4 linked regions of the Canis lupus familiaris genome follow. The protein of the gene in region 2 interacts with the protein of the main gene of each other region in a pairwise test. Links are inferred from orthologs where the notes say so. Each region holds a gene or a part of one and is shown on either strand. Other genes may lie near its edges.

Evidence for each region. The genes of interacting proteins can lie anywhere in the genome.
Region 1: the proteins of PDE4DIPP2 (region 2) and CCDC146 interact in binary tests that used the Homo sapiens proteins (3 or more experiments, as listed by UniProt). The two-hybrid records come from large-scale screens. The link is inferred for Canis lupus familiaris from reciprocal best matches to the Homo sapiens genes PDE4DIP and CCDC146.
Region 3: the proteins of PDE4DIPP2 (region 2) and SCNM1 interact in binary tests that used the Homo sapiens proteins (3 or more experiments, as listed by UniProt). The two-hybrid records come from large-scale screens. The link is inferred for Canis lupus familiaris from reciprocal best matches to the Homo sapiens genes PDE4DIP and SCNM1.
Region 4: the proteins of PDE4DIPP2 (region 2) and C15H1orf109 interact in binary tests that used the Homo sapiens proteins (3 or more experiments, as listed by UniProt). The two-hybrid records come from large-scale screens. The link is inferred for Canis lupus familiaris from reciprocal best matches to the Homo sapiens genes PDE4DIP and AIRIM.

Annotation. Positions count from the first base shown.
Region 1 is NC_049239.1:17,563,570-17,568,172, reverse strand, and holds the start of CCDC146 (coiled-coil domain-containing protein 146), read right to left. Parts: upstream 2,994-4,603; 5' UTR 2,841-2,993; intron 2,654-2,840; exon of another isoform or gene 2,436-2,653; intron 1-2,435. Other genes in the region: protein FAM185A, read left to right, coding at 2,994-3,417. UniProt on the Homo sapiens protein: Essential for sperm flagellum biogenesis and male fertility.
Region 2 is NC_049238.1:57,872,523-57,876,434, reverse strand, and holds part of PDE4DIPP2 (myomegalin), read right to left. Parts: intron 3,850-3,912; coding exon 3,730-3,849; intron 3,510-3,729; coding exon 3,390-3,509; intron 3,267-3,389; coding exon 3,054-3,266; intron 1,603-3,053; coding exon 1,444-1,602; intron 549-1,443; coding exon 435-548; intron 252-434; coding exon 114-251; intron 1-113. UniProt on the Homo sapiens protein: Functions as an anchor sequestering components of the cAMP-dependent pathway to Golgi and/or centrosomes.
Region 3 is NC_049238.1:60,887,367-60,891,943, reverse strand, and holds SCNM1 (sodium channel modifier 1), read right to left. Parts: upstream 2,994-4,577; 5' UTR 2,850-2,993; coding exon 2,799-2,849; intron 2,588-2,798; coding exon 2,517-2,587; intron 2,284-2,516; coding exon 2,195-2,283; intron 2,120-2,194; coding exon 2,022-2,119; intron 1,901-2,021; coding exon 1,812-1,900; intron 1,175-1,811; coding exon 980-1,174; coding exon of another isoform or gene 836-979; coding exon 736-835; 3' UTR 675-735; downstream 1-674. Other genes in the region: TMOD4 (tropomodulin-4), read left to right, coding at 834-997; LYSMD1 (lysM and putative peptidoglycan-binding domain-containing protein 1), read left to right, coding at 3,730-3,909. UniProt on the Homo sapiens protein: As a component of the minor spliceosome, involved in the splicing of U12-type introns in pre-mRNAs. Plays a role in the regulation of primary cilia length and Hedgehog signaling.
Region 4 is NC_049236.1:4,885,205-4,889,810, reverse strand, and holds the start of C15H1orf109 (uncharacterized protein C1orf109 homolog), read right to left. Parts: upstream 2,994-4,606; 5' UTR 2,705-2,993; coding exon 2,430-2,704; intron 609-2,429; coding exon 429-608; intron 1-428. Other genes in the region: CDCA8 (borealin), read left to right, coding at 3,400-3,496, 3,580-3,708. UniProt on the Homo sapiens protein: Part of the 55LCC heterohexameric ATPase complex which is chromatin-associated and promotes replisome proteostasis to maintain replication fork progression and genome stability.

The DNA of each region.
Region 1 (4,603 bases), on a different chromosome or scaffold from region 2:
ATCATTGAATTGTCTTCAAAATATAATTTTTAAATTGCTGCATAATATTCCAGATGTTTACTGATTTATATAACACCTACTATTTTGGGACATTTAAGTTGCCTAAGTAATTATATAATAAACAAAATTCCTTGAATGTAAGTTTTTTTTTAATATCCCTAATTTTATGCTTACATTAAATCTCCAAAAGTATAATTTCCAGGTCATGGTTTCACATATTTTTAAAGTGCTTTATGCATACTGCTGAATTGAACTCTGTAAAGTTTGTAATAACTTACACTGCCACCAGCAATATATATTCACGACTACAGGAATGTTTTTTTTTTTTTAAACTGAAGATGTAAAAATATCTTCCAAGTCAGCTTTAAGGGGAAAAAGTTACATATGATTCTCCATTCATTTGGTGAATAATCATTTTTCTTCAAAGGTGTCAGGAGGATCAAGGACCTTTTCAGTACAGTGGGAAGAGGGCCAGACCTTAATTGTTTAATCTTAATCTTTCTGAATTTGTTTCTTCATCTATAATGTGAGGATAATATTTGCCCTGATAAACTTAATGTTTTATAAGGATACTATAAGATGACACGATTTGAAAACTATAATATCATATAGATGGAAGGCAGTATTTTTATTAGTCATCATTGACATGTGGACAGATTTGATACATAAGTCATGTATCCAAAAAAAGTATTTTTAAAGTATCAATAACTTTTTAATATCCTATAATGTTATATCATTTTCTCCATTTTCAAACTCATATAATCAGAAAAGTAGTGTTTCAATTATCTTTATTTGAAATTTATTTCTTTCAAATAAATTTATTTGAAAATAATCAATGATTTTGCACATAGACAAGTATGGTTCAGTTGACAATTCCATGAACTTAGTTTGTTCCAGAAAACGAAATATTACCATAGAAACAAAATGATCTGCTAGGTATTCCTATATAACCTAAAAATATTTGGCATGTGTACACAAATGTTAGTGCATTCTCAACTTGCTTAAACCAATGCCCTTTTCAAATTTTTTAAAAATTATCCCCGTGGGTTTTCATTAAAATGACACTTTGAAGATCTGTCTGAATAATTATGACCAAATGAAACAAAGCCAAGGACAGAGCTAGTATTCAGTGGGAACACGGTGAACCTAAAAGCTAGCACCTATCATGAGCCTTCACTAAGAGGAAGAATAAGGAGGGAGAAAGAACTAGGAGGACAGAAAAGAAGAAAGGATAACTTGTGAAAGCACTGAATTTTAAAAAAGATAATGGCTAGCAGAGAACCCTGTGACCTGGGCCCATGTGGACTTTAGACCAGTTCATTAGTTCTTTAGTCCATCTCTCTATCACTATATCTCCCATAATTCCACTTATTGCACTTTTGCCATAGGCTTCAGTTTGTTTGTTTGTTTTTAAAGATTTATATATTTATATGGGGGGAGGGGCAGTGGGAGAGAATCTTTAAGCAGACTCCCTGATGAGTGGGGAGTAGAAGTGGGGCTTCATCCCAGGGCCCAGGAATGATGACCTAAGTGGAAACCAAGAGTTAGACGCTAAACCGACTGAGCGCCCCTGGGCACCCCAACAAGGGCTTCAGTTTTTTGACACTCAGTTTCGGCACTTGCATTTTATTCAATGTCACTGCAGTTTGTCTTTACTGAAGAACATAGGGAATACTTGGTAGGAAGAGAAAGGGGTACAGAAAGGGAGAGATATGCAGGGAAGCAGGAAATAAATCTCGTGGGGCTTTTTTTTTTCCTTTATTAAATTGCCTGCAGAATAAAAGGTAAAAGAGATCTTAAAGAGTCATTTAGTACAATCCTTCTTCATCTTAAAACAGAAGCAGATTCAGGTGACCCAGATAAACCAATGATAGAGCCAGGAAAATAAGCAGTCTCATGCTCTTCCCATTGCACTGTGTTGACTCTTTTTTCCTTATTTTAGTTTTTTTTTTTTTCCTAAAACGGGGGGAGGGCGTCATTTGTAGCCAAAGAGATCAATGCTTCTGTCGACACAAGTTCTGATCTCTCAGATATTTCTTGGTTACTAAGAATCGATGCTCTCCCTAAAACAAAAATACAGTAATTTACACTGCAATTTTGCAGCCTGTGCATAGAGTTCACATCCATTACCTTATTTGATCTTTGCAAAAACTTTTTGAGGCAAAATAAGGGAAGTATTATTGACCTCATTTTAATAAGAAGAAATTAAAACGCTGAGACATCCAATGACTGGTTTAAGATCACTTAGGATCAGGAAGGAGGAAGGACTCTATTGCTATTTCTATACGAGGGCATTCCATTAAAAAAAAAACTACCAATCTGGTTTCTTATTTTCTTGCCCAGGGATTCACCACCCCAGGGTATCCCGCACTAGTTTAGTGAAGTTTAGATCTAACCACTCACTGGGGGTACTCTAGTTTGCATCCAGGTCTCACCTTTTGAAAGGTTTCTTACCCCTTAACTTGGTCCTGATCCTCCTTTAGGTTCCTGTTTTTCTCGGTAAATTAGGACCTCCCGCGTCTCACTCCAAAGGTCTACCCTGTCCAAAGCAGTCGCGTCCTTGGTAGCCATGGAAACCACGCAGTCCTGCCCACCGTGCTCCTTCCGCGCTTTCCATTGGCCAGTTGGATATCTGAGTAGCTCCTCCCCCCTCCTCCAATGGCTAGTGGGCACCTGCTCCCACTCCCCCTTCTGCCCTGCGCGTTGCCTCCTGGGATATGTAGTTTCTAAGCGGCCCGGAGCCCCACGACCTGTCTCCCCTTTAGAACTACCAATCCCATGCGCCTTTGCGAAAGGGGAGGACGCGGGCAGGGAGTCCAGGGGTCCGCGTGGATACTTACTGTCGGGGGCGGCGTGCGCGGCTGAGGGTTTAAACTGCCGACGGAAGTGAGCAGTCTTGCTTCGGCAAATCGCGAACGTCCGCCTTTCCGCCTTAAGGCGGGCGGCCCGGCCTGCGGCGGCGGCGGTTTGAGGGAGCGCGAGAGGGGCGCGCCATGTTCGCCCGGCGCCCTGGCTGCGGGCTCGGCGGCCTGCGGCTCACCCCGCTCGGAGTTGGGGCGCGCGGAGCCGGCCCGGCGCGGCCGCACGGCGGAGGCGGAGGCGAGCGGCCGCCGGGCTCCGAGCCCCCGCCCCCGCCAGGCCCCTCGCGCGGGAGCCTGAGGGCGTGGGCGCTGCGGGTGAGCCCGCTCGGCCGGCTGCGCGCGCGGCTGCCGTGCCACGTGACCGTGCGGCCGCTGGACCCGCTCGCCCACCCGGCCGGCGACCGCGTGCTGGTGGCGCTGCGCGCCGCGGAGGGCGGGGCGCGGGCCCCGGGCGGGCTGCGGCTGGAGCGCGGCGGGGCGCCGACGGAGGTGGCGGTCGTGCCGGACGCCCTCGACCCCGGGGCGTCCGTGGACGTGAGCGCGCCTCTGCAGTTTGGCAAGTGAGGGGGAGCAAACCGGGTTGGGGTCCCGGGACACAGCCCGAATCTGACCTCAGGCAGGTGTGCACTTTTTTTTTTTTTTTTTAGATTTTATTTATTCATGAGAGAGAGAGGGGCAGAGACCCAGGCAGAGGGAGAAGCAGGCTCCATGCTGGGATCCCAACGTGGGACTCGATCCTGGGTCTCCAGGATCAGGCCCTGGGCTGAAGGTGCTAAACCGCTGAGCCACCCGGGCTGCCCAGTTGCGCGCTTCTTATCGCAGCTCCTGCTGCTGATGCGCGCTTCCTATCGCTCCCCCTGCAGCTGATGCGCGCTTCCTATGGCTCCCGCTGCAGCTGATGCGCGCTTCCTATCGCTCCCCCCTGCAGCTGATGGGCGCTTCCTATGGCTCCCTCTGCAGCTGATGCGCGCTTCCTATGGCTCCCTCTGCTGCTGATGCGCGCTTCCTATGGCTCCCTCTGCAGCTGATGCGCGCTTCCTATGGCTCCCCCTGCAGCTGATGCGCGCTTCCTATCGCTCCCTCTGCTGCTGTTGCGCGCTTCCTATCCCTCCCTCTGCACCTGATGCGCGCTTCCTATCGCTCCCCCTGCAGCTGATGCGCGCTTCCTATGGCTCCCCCTGCAGCTGATGCGCGCTTCCTATCGCTCCCTCTGCTGCTGTTGCGCGCTTCCTATCCCTCCCTCTGCACCTGATGCGCGCTTCCTATCGCTCCCCCTGCAGCTGATGCGCGCTTCCTATGGCTCCCCCTGCAGCTGATGCGCGCTTCCTATCGCTCCCTCTGCTGCTGTTGCGCGCTTCCTATCCCTCCCTCTGCACCTGATGCGCGCTTCCTATCGCTCCCCCTGCAGCTGATGCGCGCTTCCTATGGCTCCCCCTGCAGCTGATGCGCGCTTCCTATCGCTCCCTCTGCTGCTGTTGCGCGCTTCCTATCCCTCCCACTGCCCCTGATGCGCGCTTCCTATCGCTCACCCCTGCAGCTCATGCGCGCTTCCTATGGCTCCCGCTGCAGCGGATGCGCGCTTCCTATCGCTCCCTCTGCAACTGACTCCCTGGCCTAACTGAGTTGCCTCCGCCCACAGAGCTTGCCTCTTTTTTTCTGTTCTGCTTTGCGTGGCCTGGTGAAAGGCAGACACCAGGTTCCCAGTTACAGACGATTTATAGATCCACGGGAAGTGTCGTCTG
Region 2 (3,912 bases):
TTTTTTTCTCATAAAGCAAATATCTTGGTTTTCAGATAATGAGGGAAAGGGGTTGATACTTCAGGTATAGAATCTAAGTGGGAAAAGGATCTCAAGACAGGTTGTGCTCTTACCTGCATGGTAGCTTCATTAGAGGAGAGAATAGCACGCAATCTCTCTAAGTCATGATCACGCTCTCGCACAGCAAGATGAAATTGACGCAGTTCTTTTTCTTTCTCTTCCAGGGCGGAGAACTTTTCATCTATAGCCCGCTGCAAGGAAAGTAAGGATCCTAAAGCTCCTGAGGATTCACTATTGTGATCACACGTATACAATGAAAATATAAAGGAAGGGAAGACCAACTCTAAAAGCAGTAAATTAAGTGTACACATATTTTTAAGTACCTATGTGAACAGAATAATCCATAGTGCCATAAACAAAATCAAGGTACATACCTCCAAAGCAACATCTCGGTCTTGTATTCGCTGCCGAAGTTTCTCAAGCAACATTTCATTTGCTTCAAGGGTTTTGTCTGACTTATCTCGATACTGCAGGAGCTCCCGAAATTCCTAACAAGACCAAAAAATATTTCCTTTTATTCATTTATCTAATATGCATTGAATTCCTACACTCTGCCAAGCAATTTGTTATTCAGGATAAAAAACAAAATGTGATCACTCTCCAGGAAAACACAGGTTAGCAGACATAACAGACATACAAATTGTTAATTACTGTACACATGTGTATATGTGTGTGTGCATATATGAATTTATATATACATCATGCATATACGGCTATGTCTGCATAGCCAGCCACTGGGGGACCACAAGATGCATGGTCTAAACCTGCCTGAAGATGTCACTAAAGATCTCCCAAAGGGATTACATTTACTCTAAATCTTAAAGAACTGGGAGTTTCCCCAATGAAGAGGTGGTATGGGTATTTCTATCAGACAAAAAATGTATACACAATACATGCACATGAGGAAAAAACTGTACGTTCAGCAGAACATAAGGGATTCAATGGGACTAAAGCTTAGAGCAAGTGGTAGAAGTAAATACAGTCATCTTCAGTGTTTCCTATTTTCCCTGATGTTCATTTTATCACATAAGTAACTGGAAATTCCTATACAGATGTCTTCACCTACTAGATTGAGAGCAGTGGCTGTATCTTCTGTCTTCCCAGCATCTAGCATAGTATCTAGTTCACAGACATGTTTAATTTGCTGAATATTTATTGCTTAAATCTTTCAGATCTATATTTATTATTTTGTACATATGCTGATTAGTATTGTGGTTCGTGAATTGTACTTTCTATTTATTTTGTACCCTCCTGGTTCCCACCTCTCAGTTCTCTACATGTAACAGGTACTCAACACAAGTGGACTAATATCCTGAAATTACATGAATGGAACTTTCAGAGCTCTGCGAGCCCAGTTTAGTTAAAACCATTATGTAGACTCACCTGAAGCAGCTGCTCTTTGTGGCTCAGACTATGGTTTAGGTGTTGAATGTGTTGCTCATGGGCTCTGATCTCATTACATTTTTCAGTCTCCAGGGTACGAAGCTGTTGGCTCTTACTCTGTAATTCTCCTTGGAGCTGCTGCAAGGCTTTCCGTAATTCCTGAATTAAACAGATTCCCTTTTTCAAACAATCTAAAATTTTCACCTGGTTAGTAGATAGGGAGTCCTTAAAACTTTCAAGACATATAGAATAAAACAAAAGTAGCAGAAAAGTGCCATTCTTAAAATTACTGTAGAAATATTATACATGAAAAAAAAATAAAAAAAATAAAAAAATAAAAAAAAAAGAAATATTATACATGAATCAGGGGCACCCGGGGGGCTCAGTGGTTGAGTGGCTGCCTTTGGCTCAGGGTTCTGGGATCGAATCCCACATCAGGTTCACCAGAGGGAGCCTGTTTCTCCCTCTGCCTATGTCTCTGCCTCTCATGAATAAATAAATAAAATCTGGGCAGCCCCAGTGGCCCAGCAGTTTAGTGCCGCCTTCGGCCTGGGGTGTGATCCTGGAGACCCAGGATCAAGTCCCGTGTCGGGCTCCCTGCATGGAGCCTGCTTCTCTCCCTGCCTCTCTCTCTCTCTCTCTGTCATGAGTGAATAAATAAAAGCTTTAAAAAAATCTTAAAAAATATATATTATACATGAATCAAATAGGATATAGGAAGCTGTGGCAACTGTGAATGGCGGTAAGATGTAAATTTCATATTAGTAGTCTAATACTTTCTAGTTTTAAAATGATAGCTCTACTCAGCAGAACTCTGTCCCACTGGAAACCTGAATAAGCTCAAGGACAGAGTATTTCTATCATCCTTTTAAATCTTTTTTTTTTTTTTAAAGATTCTATCCATTTATTCATGAGAGATACAGAGAGAGAGAGAGGCAGAGACACAGGAAGTGGGAGAAGCAGGCTCCATGCAGGGAGCCTGATGCAGTACTCGATCCCGGGTCTCCAGGATCACACCCTGGGCCGAAGGCAGCGCTAAACCGCTGAGCCACCTGGGCTGCCCCTTTTAAATCCTTAAAAAGAAAATCGACAGCATATACTCTAGCAAGATAAAGGAACCACTTAATAATAATAATGATTATTTTTTAAAGATGTGGCTAACTGTACATGCCATTCCTCTGAGCTTGGTTGTTGTTTACCATTATTCTGTCTTGGTAATCTTTACTCACACTTCAAGAATAACCCCAGATGGCTCCTCCCTCATGAAGCTCTCCCTAACTCCCTTCCTCAGCCCCTCCTATATATTCCTATCGGACCCACACAGAACTCCTTTAACTCATTTTGGTATTTGCCACACGAAAATTCTGTTTATGTGACTATTTCATACTAAACTACAAGTAGCTTAACAGGAAAGAGCTTATGATATTCACTCTTGTATTTCCAGAACACAGCCCAATATCTGGCACCTATAGGTATGAGGGCAATAAATGTTGAACTGAATTACTTAGATTAAGCAAAATGACTCAAGGATTCAACACAAACTGTCCTGATACAAAGTTATTATCAGGGCAAAGTTAGCATTTTTGGTCACAAAATGATTGCTGATTTACCTGATTATGTTTCCAAGATGCCTCTTTCTGCTGTTCTCTTTCATGGGCTGCAGCCTCTACAAATTGGACACATCGTTTGGCATCAGCCAGTTGGCGTTCTTTTTGACGTACCAACCTCTGGAGTTTCTGAATCTCAAGCTGGCTGTAGAACAAACCACTCTGAAGATCAAGCAGAGCCATCTGTTGCTGAGCTGGGGAAGTACCCTGTGAGCTCTGGAAAAAAAAAAAAAAAAGTAAAAATTAATCAAGAGGACAGCAAGCACTGAGCAGCTGAGAAGACCAACAAAATCAAGACTGTGTCTGAAAAGCATGGCACTTCCTTAACCAGAATCTCACCTCCTGTCCTATGTGACCCTCAAATACATGAAGTTGTCCAAGCTGGCTTTGGTGTAGCATTTCTCGAAGCTTTGCCATTGTGTCATTTTGACCTTCAATCACCTGGTACAACTCCTCGGTCTGAAAATGAGACAGGGAGTACTGAACATGTTAGTAAACTAAAAATAAATTCCACTATCTCACCTGTACAGATTTTAGAAACACTGATTTAGATTACACTACAGTTTCTCTACACTAACATCTGTTAGTCTGATGATCTGTTTCTACAAAATACAGAATATGTGTCTACTTTGATAAAGCAAATAATTTCCTCACGGGTTCCTGACTGCCAAATATTTACCTCATTTTCCCTACTTTTCAGAGTTTCCTTGAGGCTTTGAATTGTACCATCTTGCTTCTGAGATGACTCCTGAGCAGACTTTAGCTCACAGCTCATTTCATTCAGTTTCTCTTGAAGAATCTGAATTCAGCAAAGAAAAACAGGTCAATTTCTTTTACCTTCAAATGCAACCAGTAAGTCCTT
Region 3 (4,577 bases), about 3.0 Mb from region 2:
TCTTGGCGCTAACCCCCAAGGGTTACTGCCAGTTCATCAGGGGATTATTTATACTCTGGGGATCAGCAGGCAGGGAGGTTCAAGTTACTAGGCAGAGGTGGGGCAGCTCCCTCCCTTGGTGTTCCCTGTGGCCCTGCCAATGCAGTTAGTCCCTTCTGCTCTCACAGGGTACCTACTACCCCAGCCCTCTTTTCAGATACGGGTAGGGCCCCTGGTGTCTAACTACAACTTCATGTGATCTGAAGGAGGAAAGAACTTTGAGTGAAGGTGGGGAAGAAGGCAGACAACAAAAAAAAAAAAAAAAAAAAAAAAGAAGGCAGACAACATGAAGGGCAAAGACCTCCTTCTGACAGACTTATTAATAGGGCATTGGGCTGCATGCAGCTGACGCTTGGCAGTACTTTGGTTGAAGGTGGGGGAGGGGTCAGAAGTATGGGGAGCTGTGTACATTTCAGGGAAGAATGGGCCTGGCTGTCCTGAAATGGGGGACACCTGAAATGGGTGGCTTGGTTGGTTAATCAGAGTTTGACTCTTGATCTCAGCTCAGGTCTTGATCTCAGGGTCATGAGTTCAAGCTCTACATTGGGCTCCACATTGGGTGTGTAGCCTACTTAAAAAAAAAAAAAAAAATCCACCAGTGAAATCCTGAAATGGGGCAAGGAAGTAGACTTGAAGAAAGTTAGACTCCTGGAGCCTGCTGAAATTTATTTGTGAACTGAGGGGGAAAAGAGGGTATCAGTCTAAGGAAAGGTCAGGAGGTTCCTCTTCATCAGAGTCAAACTCAACATTCTCATCTTTTACCCATCGACCTTGTCCATCTGGGATCCATCCAGAGCTGCAAATAACAGAAAATAGAATAAATCAGGAAAAGAGGTTTAAGAAGTTAATGGGGATAAGAGAAAAACAATTGAGAAGGATTGAAATAAGAAAACTCAGAAAGAAAAGAGAAAACTTGAAGAAAGTGATTCTGCATACAAACCTTCGAAGGGTGAGGTAATGATCCAGGGCTCGTTTCCTCGTGGGGCTCATGGGCACAGGGGATGAGACAGTTGCTGACTCCTTGGCCTGTGGGCCAGCTCCAGGCATGGGTTCCTTAGTGATCTTCCCACTCTCAGGCTCAACCTCTGGGGGTGGTAAAGGGGGATGGGAGACAGAGGGACGAGGGGTTTCTGGTCTAGGTAGAGAAGAATCAACGTCTATAAAAGTAGTAAAGGAAAAAGGCCAATTCTCCTATGACTCCCAATCCCTTACAGAAGTGTTTCCTAAACTGTGTTCCTCAAGATATTAGTAAATGTCTTGCATAAAAAAAAGAATTTTGGAATCATATGAATTTTTAAAAGGCTAGTATAACATTTTGAGGGTTTTTTTTTTTTAATCTTTAGACTTTGTAGAGCCCTTCGAATATATTAATATTACTACTCTTCAAGTAGGATCACAAAGTGCCATTTCCTGGGGCACCTGGGTGACTCAGTGGTTGAGTGTCTGCCTTCGGCTCAGGTCATGATCCCGGGGTCCTGGGATTGAATCCTGCATTGGGCTCTCCACAGGGAGCCTGCTTCTCCCTCTGCCTATGTCTCTGCCTCTCTCTGTCTCTCATGAATAAATCAGTAAAATCTTTAGAACAAAAACCAAAGTGCCGTTTCCTAAACTTAAAAAAAAAAAAAAAAAGCAACATTCTCTTTTTTTTCTGAAATATCAGTAAACATCTCTGGAGTATTAATATTCCTGAGAATACAATTTGTAATACCTTTATCTTAGAGCCATCTATCTCCTCTGACCCGCCCTACCTCTGGCTTTCCCACCCCACAGACCTGTGCTTCCTGCGGCAGCAACTGTTATAGTGAGGAGCTCTGTGCAGAGCACTCTGGGTGGTAAGTCGGGTCTGCGTTAACAGAGGAGCCTGGTGTGGAGATGGGAAACACAGTCAGTGTCTTCAGAGCTAGAAAGAAGTCGAAGCCCTTCAAGCCTAAGATGTGCAGCAGGCCCACCCAAAACACACCCTCCCCTCCCTGATTACCTACCTCAGCCTTGATCTCTGACTGCCTCAATTCATTCTGCTGTCTTGGATTCTGCTCCATTCCCTTTACTGGCTGCTTCTTGCCATAGAAAAGCTGCAGGCCTGAAGGTAGAGGGGAAGAGAATTAAAAACAAAACCGCAAGAGTGATCTGCAGAGATTTGTCTTCCCTCACTTACTGGACAGATGTTTCTTGCCTGCACGGTGGGCAGTCAGCATGGCCAGGGTGTCCAGTACAGGTCGGTGGGGACAGATAGCACAAGCGAAGCTGGAGAGGAGGGTAGAAGATATTCGGTGCCAGGTGAGTGGGGTCTGGTTCCACCTGGACCTAGCAACCCTTTCCAAAACCAAACTCTAGGGTCTCCCAATTTCCACCACCCACATCCCTGTCCCTCATCCCCCATCAGAAAATCCTAGATACTCCCGCTCCCCCCTTGATAACAAAATTATACGAAGCCTATAACCGCAGCACCCTCGGGCTTGATCACCCCTCGCCCTCACCGTCCATCCCGTAGCATGAGCGCTTCATCCTCTGGGATATAACTGGCCAGCAGGTCCCCGACTCTCCGTTTCTGCAGGGGGTAGCCGGACGGGACCAGTGGGAGAGGAGGGAGGGGTCAAAGATTGAAAGGCAAAAAGGACCATGAGAACAGAGATCACTGGGCGAAGAAGGGGTCACTACCCAGCTCTGGTCGCGCCGGCCCCGCAGCTGTTGCCAGAGCAACAAAACAGCTCCTTCACGGGGCAGTGAAACTGTTCCCGATGCTCCCCTCTCGCGCTTACTTTGAGCACATTGAGTTGACTCGAATCATCCCCTTCCCTCTTGAAAGACATTACGACTGAGCTCCAGAAGCGAACAATTCTCCCGAGCCGCCTCGGCCACTCCTCTCAGGCCACCGTAGCGAGAGTAAGGCGTCTTCTCCCGTCGGGTTTCTTTCCGGTTGGCCTCCTTACTTCCCTAGATGCACAGCGCTCGCGGAAAGCCCGCCCACAGCCTGCGGAGCCGACCGCACTGCCCACGCGACCCGGCGACCCCGCAGGCGCGGGGCGTTTTGGGAAATGAAGTCTTTTTTTCAAAGGGCTTGCCACCCAGCTGGCTCCCGGCCCTTGCATCTTGGCTGATTCGAGGCGTCTGGGGAGACAAGAACTTAAATGTGGAGACCGACGTTGAGGCCGTGACGGATTTGCTGAGGAGCGGGCCTTGGAAGATCTCTGAGTGGAACGTGTAGTACAAACTCTCGCGGTCCTCACGCGCCTCCCTGGCCGCCGACAGCCCACCAGGAGGGGGCTGGATTTATTCCTGACACAAGCCGACCAACCCGGGACGAGGCGGGGCCGGGGTGTGAAGGGAACCTGGGAGGCGGAGGCTGCCTGACCTGGGGGAGAGGGGCGAGCTGAGCGGAGTGTGGAGGGTAACTACGGTTCAAAGGTCAGAGTTCATAGTGGTGGGAGGGTTGAAAGTCAGCGGGGTGCTAATAAGGAGAGACTCTGGTAGGGACTGGATCCTCGGGATACAGATTCGTGGGAAGGCGCCTGGGAAGCGGGACAAACGAGAGCCGCGGGGGCGCGAAGTGCCGGGGCAGACGGGGGTTTGTGAGAGGAGACGGGGGAAAGGAACCCCCTGGATAGACGTCCCTCGCCCCCAGCCCCGTGGCTGTCGGCACTTAGCCAGGCCTCCCTCACTTGCAACCCCAGCTGCCGGCGGGGTGAGGAGATGGCTTCGTCCTCTAGACAGGCCCCCCTCGGGGGGTCAGGACTGCTACAGGGGAGCCGGGCTCGTTCTTACGGAAGCCTGGTGCAGTCAGCCTGCTCCCCGGTGAGGGAAAGACGCCTGGAGCATCAGCTGGCCCCCGGAGACACCCTGGCTGGACTCGCACTGAAATACGGGGTGACGGTGAGTCTTCCATGGTAGGGATGCAGACAACCACTCAGAAGAGATTATTCCTCATTAGAATGTAATGACCCGGCTAGGCAACTTCCCCTGAAATTTCCTAATTGTGTTGTGGTCTGACCCACCTTTATCTTTTTGTTCTCCCATCTCAGTGTTGCCTTGTCTGGTTGGGACAGACCCTGTGCCACTATCCGGGTGGAGAGGAGCTGCTTCTATTTATGCCAGTCTCTATTCTAGAGGTTTTACATACATTGGCCCATTTGGTTCTCCCATCCCCGTCAAGCATACGTTTGTTTACAGATGAAGAAACAGACTTAGATTGGTTAACCAATTTGACCAAGGTCAAATAACCAATGAGCATTAGAGTGGGAATTCAAACAGATCTGACTCCAAAGCTCGTAATATTAACCACATGGAAACTTTTTAATTGCAAGTGATTAAACATTTACAGCAAACAGTGGAGAGTTGGTTTCTAAGGTTCTTTGTGAGACCAGTGCTCTAACCACTCTAGATCTAAGTTGTTGGGTTTTTTTTTTTTTTCCCCAAAGATTTATGTATTTATTTTTGGAAGAGGGGGAAGGAGAGGGGAAGAAGGTGGGGAAAATCCCAAGCAGACTGGCAGGCAAGCATGGAGCCCCACATCCATCCCAGGACCTTAGCTGAATTCAAGA
Region 4 (4,606 bases), on a different chromosome or scaffold from region 2:
CTCTGCAAGGTCCGGCCCGGTCTCTCGGAATCCGTCTCCTATCGGGCTCCCCTTCCTCACTCCAGTCTAGCAACACTGGCATCCGTGCTACTTTCTGAACATATCAGGCCTGCTCTTACCTCAGGGCCTTTGCACTTGACATTTCTTCTACCTGGGACACCCTCTCCCCGAGTATCAACTGGTTCTCTCCCTCATCTTCCTTAGGTCTTTTCTCAAATGTCACTATCTCAGTGAGGCCTCTCCTGACTACCATGTTTAAGATCACAGCCCCACCCTCGCCCTTCGCTTGCCCCGTTTCATTTTTCCCCAAGTTCAAAGACAATGAGAACTGACCTGCACTCTATAGTCGTATGCTCTCGTGAAAACTGAAATGAAAAACTTCCTGAGACAGCTCTGGATGCTGTCTGAAACATATTCGCAAAGGATACGCATTTCGATAGTGTCTCTCAATATCCTGCAACCACTCCAACATGTCAGCCACAGAGGGGCTCACCGCTGAAGCCCGCTGGACAGCATCAATGCCAATCGCGTCTGCGTGCTGCTCATAGACCTCAAACACTTGTTCCACGTGCCTGCTGACAACGTCACGCACCTTGAGGAGGGTAGCTCTGGGGGGAAAAGTCTCACATTAGGCAATACCACGAGAGGACCCTAAGGCAGGGGTCCTCAACCTCAGCACATGCACATTTCAATTTGGACGGTCCCTTGTGGTGGAGAGTTGTTGTCCTGTGCGTGTTAGGATGCTGAGCAGTATCCTCGGCCTCTACCCGCTAGATGAGAGGAGCAAACCACGTCAGGACAATCAATCGGGTCTCCAGACACTGCCAAACGTCCCAGTGGGAAAAACTGCTCTGGGTGCACAGAGAGAGACTACTGCAGATAGGAGAAGTTACTTAACGCTCAATCATGTATAAAAATGGTGTTGCTCACTGCACACCCTAAGTGCTCACAACCCTGAGACTGGCACGTAGAATGACAAACACTTGTTCAATGAATGAATGGAGTGAAACGGTTCTTGGGAGGATCAAATGCAATAATGCTTATAAAGTGCTTAGGGAAGTGCCCAGCTCACAGTGAGCATAATAGTAATAATATTCTTATTATTCCAGGGCGTGATCCTGGAGACCTGGGATCGAGTCCCACATCAGGCCCCCTGCATGGAGCCTGCTTCTCCCTCCGCCTGTGTCTCTGCCTCTCTCTTTGTGTGTCTCATGGATAAATAAATAAAATCTTAAAAAAAGGGGTATCCCTGGGAGGCTCAGTGGTTTAGTGCCTGCCTTCGGCCCAGGTCGTGACCCTGGAGTCCCGGGATCGAGTCCCACGTCGGGCTCCCGGCATGGAGCCTGCTTCTCCCTCTGCCTGTGTCTCTACCTCTCTTTCTCTATGTCTATCATAAATAAATGAATAAATCTTTAAAAAAAATCTTAAAAAAAAAAAACTCTCTCTCTTCTAATCTACAAAGAAACCAAGCCTGGTTCATTGCTATATTCCCACCACCTTGTGCGTGGCTTAATTACAGGTGCTCAGCTCTCTTGTACAAATGACTACAAAGAAGATCCCTGTACTCGACCTGTTCCCGTTAGCCTAGGGCACAGACCGTATACACTGGACACTTATTTTGCTCTAGTCGAGAAAAGGCCTATCCGCGCGGGGTGCCTTTGTCAGGGATGCATTCCCTTGCGATTCTGGCTCAGGTCATGTTGTCATGACGGATCGTGACATGGGAGCCCTGCATGGGGCTCTGCGCCCAGCTGGGAGTCTCCTTGAAATGCTCTCTCTCCCTCTGCCCCTTTCCCCACTTATCCCCTCTCTCTAAAAGGGAAGGGAAGGGAAGAAGGAAGGGAAGGGAGGAAGGAAGGAAAGTAAGGAAGGGAAGGGAAGGAAGGGAAGGAAGGGAAGGGAAGGGAGGAAGTGAGGGAGGAAGGAAAGGAAGGGAAGGGAGGAAGGAAGGGAGGAAGGGAAGGAAGGAGGGCAGACTGCACACTGAGTGCAGAGCCCCAGCGCCGGGCTTGACCTCACCACCTGAGAGCACGACCTGAGCCAAAACCACAGAGCCCAAAGCCCGACTGACCACGCCAGCCAGGTGCCCCTGTAAAACGACTTTGTGACAAGAGGTCCCATTGCGGGGAACCCCCGGGTGGCTCAGCGGGTGAGCATCTGCCTGCAGCCCAGGGCGTGACCCTAGAGACCCAGGATAGAGTCCCACGTCGGGCTCCCTGCGTGGAGCCTGCATCTCCCTCTGCCTGCGTCCCATGCATAAAATCAATCAATCAATCAATCAATCAATAAATCCCATTGCAACAAATGGAGAAGAGGCGAGGCTGCGACACCTCCTTCCCTTCCAGGGAAGGGGAAACCCCCTCTCCGACTGATCCTAGCTGCTTAGGGAGCCCCCGCGTCTCCACCCTCCCGCGCGGAGCTCTTCTTACAGCGTCTCCCCTAGCTTGTCCAACACGTCGTCGCCAGCCTCCAGCTGCTTGCGCCGCAGCCGCTCCCGCAGGCCCGGGAAGGCCCGAAGCGGGGGCGCGTCGTCCAGCCGCGCGACCTGAGCCGCCTGCAGCTGCTCCGCCAGGCTGCCGAGCGCGGCCAGCAGGGGCTGGCAGTCCCCGAGCGCGCCCCGCCAGCGGCGCTGCTGCTCCTGCACGGCGGGGAAGCAGCCCCTCAGGGCCTCCCGCACGGCGAGCAGAGGCTGGTCCTGCGCCATCACCTGCCGGACAAGCCCAGGCCGGCGGGCAGCGCCAGGCGGCCCAGGTGCGAGGGTTCCCGTGCGCAAGCGCCGTGTACCCCCTCCGACCCGGGGGCGGCCCCGCTTTCAGGTCGCAGCGCTGTCCCGAAACCCGGGCCTTGAGCCCGAGTTCTGTCTCCTCCCCTGGCAGCTCCGGTCGCCTTCCCCGAACCGGCGGGAGCCCTGGAAGCCCGCGGCGGCTAAGCGGGGGCGCCCACCGGGGCACCCACGCCCGGCGCTCCCTCGCCGCCTCTCCGCGCATGCTCCAGCGCGGCCGCCGCGGCGCAAACGGAGGTCGCAACGCGCGATGCCTTCTGGGGGCTGTAGTCCTACGGGCGGAGCGTCCTTGTGATTGGATGTTGCGGGAGCCTCCCAAGACGGCGACTTCTGATTCGTCAGCCGGTGGCGGTTTGAATTCGGCGGCGGCGGCTGCACGTCGGGTTCTGCAAGGAGCTGCTCCGTCCTTGCGGCTGCGGAGGCGGGGGTTCTCTTGGACGCTTTCGGCGACCCGCATGTACGTGCCCCGCGCCTCGTTTAAGCTCGGGCCTCCCCGGGGCAGCCTGTGCCCCCCGCTCGCCCCTTAGGGCGCCCGCCCGGCCTCTCCCGCGACCTCGGCCGCTGACCGCCCCCCCCCCCCACGCCCCGGGGGCGCCCGCAGCCTCCACCCAAGCGCCATGGCTCCGGCTAGGAAGGGCGGCAGTCGGGTGGCCAAGACCAGCTCCTTGCGGAGCCGGAAGCTCGCCTCCTTTCTTCGGGACTTCGACCGGGAAGGTAGGGGGCGCAGCCGGGGTGCGGGCGGGGTGGGGTGCGGGGCCCCGGGCCCCGGTTCACCCGCCCGTGTGCCCTGCCCGCAGTGCAAATACGGTCCAAGCAGATCCAGTCGGACACACAGAACCTCCTCAAGGAGATGGACAACCTGTACAACATCGAGATCCTGCGGCTCCCCAAGGCGCTGCGCGAGATGAACTGGCTCGACTACTTCGGTAAGAGCCGCTCGCGTCCCCAGGCCTCGGCCGGCGGTGATCACCCCCGCCCCCCGCCCCCCTGCGCTGCTTATTGCACTTCCCTGCTTCACCTGTCTGCACAGGACTCTGACGTCATCTGCCCCGCAGGTAGGCAGGCAGGCAGGCAGGCAGGCAGGCAGGCATCCATCCCCTCTAAAGGACCCCATACTGAATTCTTGAAGCTTTGCAGCTACTCAATTCAAGCTGTTCTAGGCCCAAAACTGCTGGATTGAACAGGTGCATGTATGTGTTCCAGGAAAACGTTACTTAGGGACGCACAGAAATGTGAAATTTGTGTGCATTTTTTGTGTCACAAAACGCTCTCTCTCACTTGCTCGCTCTCTCTCTCTTTTTTTTTTTTTTTTGGATAGTTTATCCAGTCGCTTAAAAACGGATACCTGAATAACTTGGTTCGTTAACCAGAGCTCAGATGGTTGGAGAACCCTAAGCCGTACTTTCTGCATCTCATGGAAACCGTCAGTTAAAAAAAAAAAAAGGGCAAATCAGATTGTGAAGCGCAAGGACTCAAGTTTTTCTGGCCAGCAGAAAACTGCAGCCTGTTCTCTGGCCCCCATGTTAAATGCCCAAGGACATGCGACAGGCTCTCGTTTCTGCTCTGGGGTGCCCTTACTTTTCCTCGTTTCTTTATTATTAGCTATTATGTAGGTTCCGTCCTGCATAGAAAAGCACGTTGTGTTCAAATTGTGGTTACTTAATGACCCTTTTGACTTGCACGTTTCTACAAATACTCATGGAGCGTGCCTCTGTCCCAGTGCTAAGGGGTGAAAATGCTTTGGGAAATAACAACAGACGTTGTCCCTACCCTCAGGAGCTTACAAGTTAGTAGAAGAGGATCGTTTTAAAAATGCACACATGG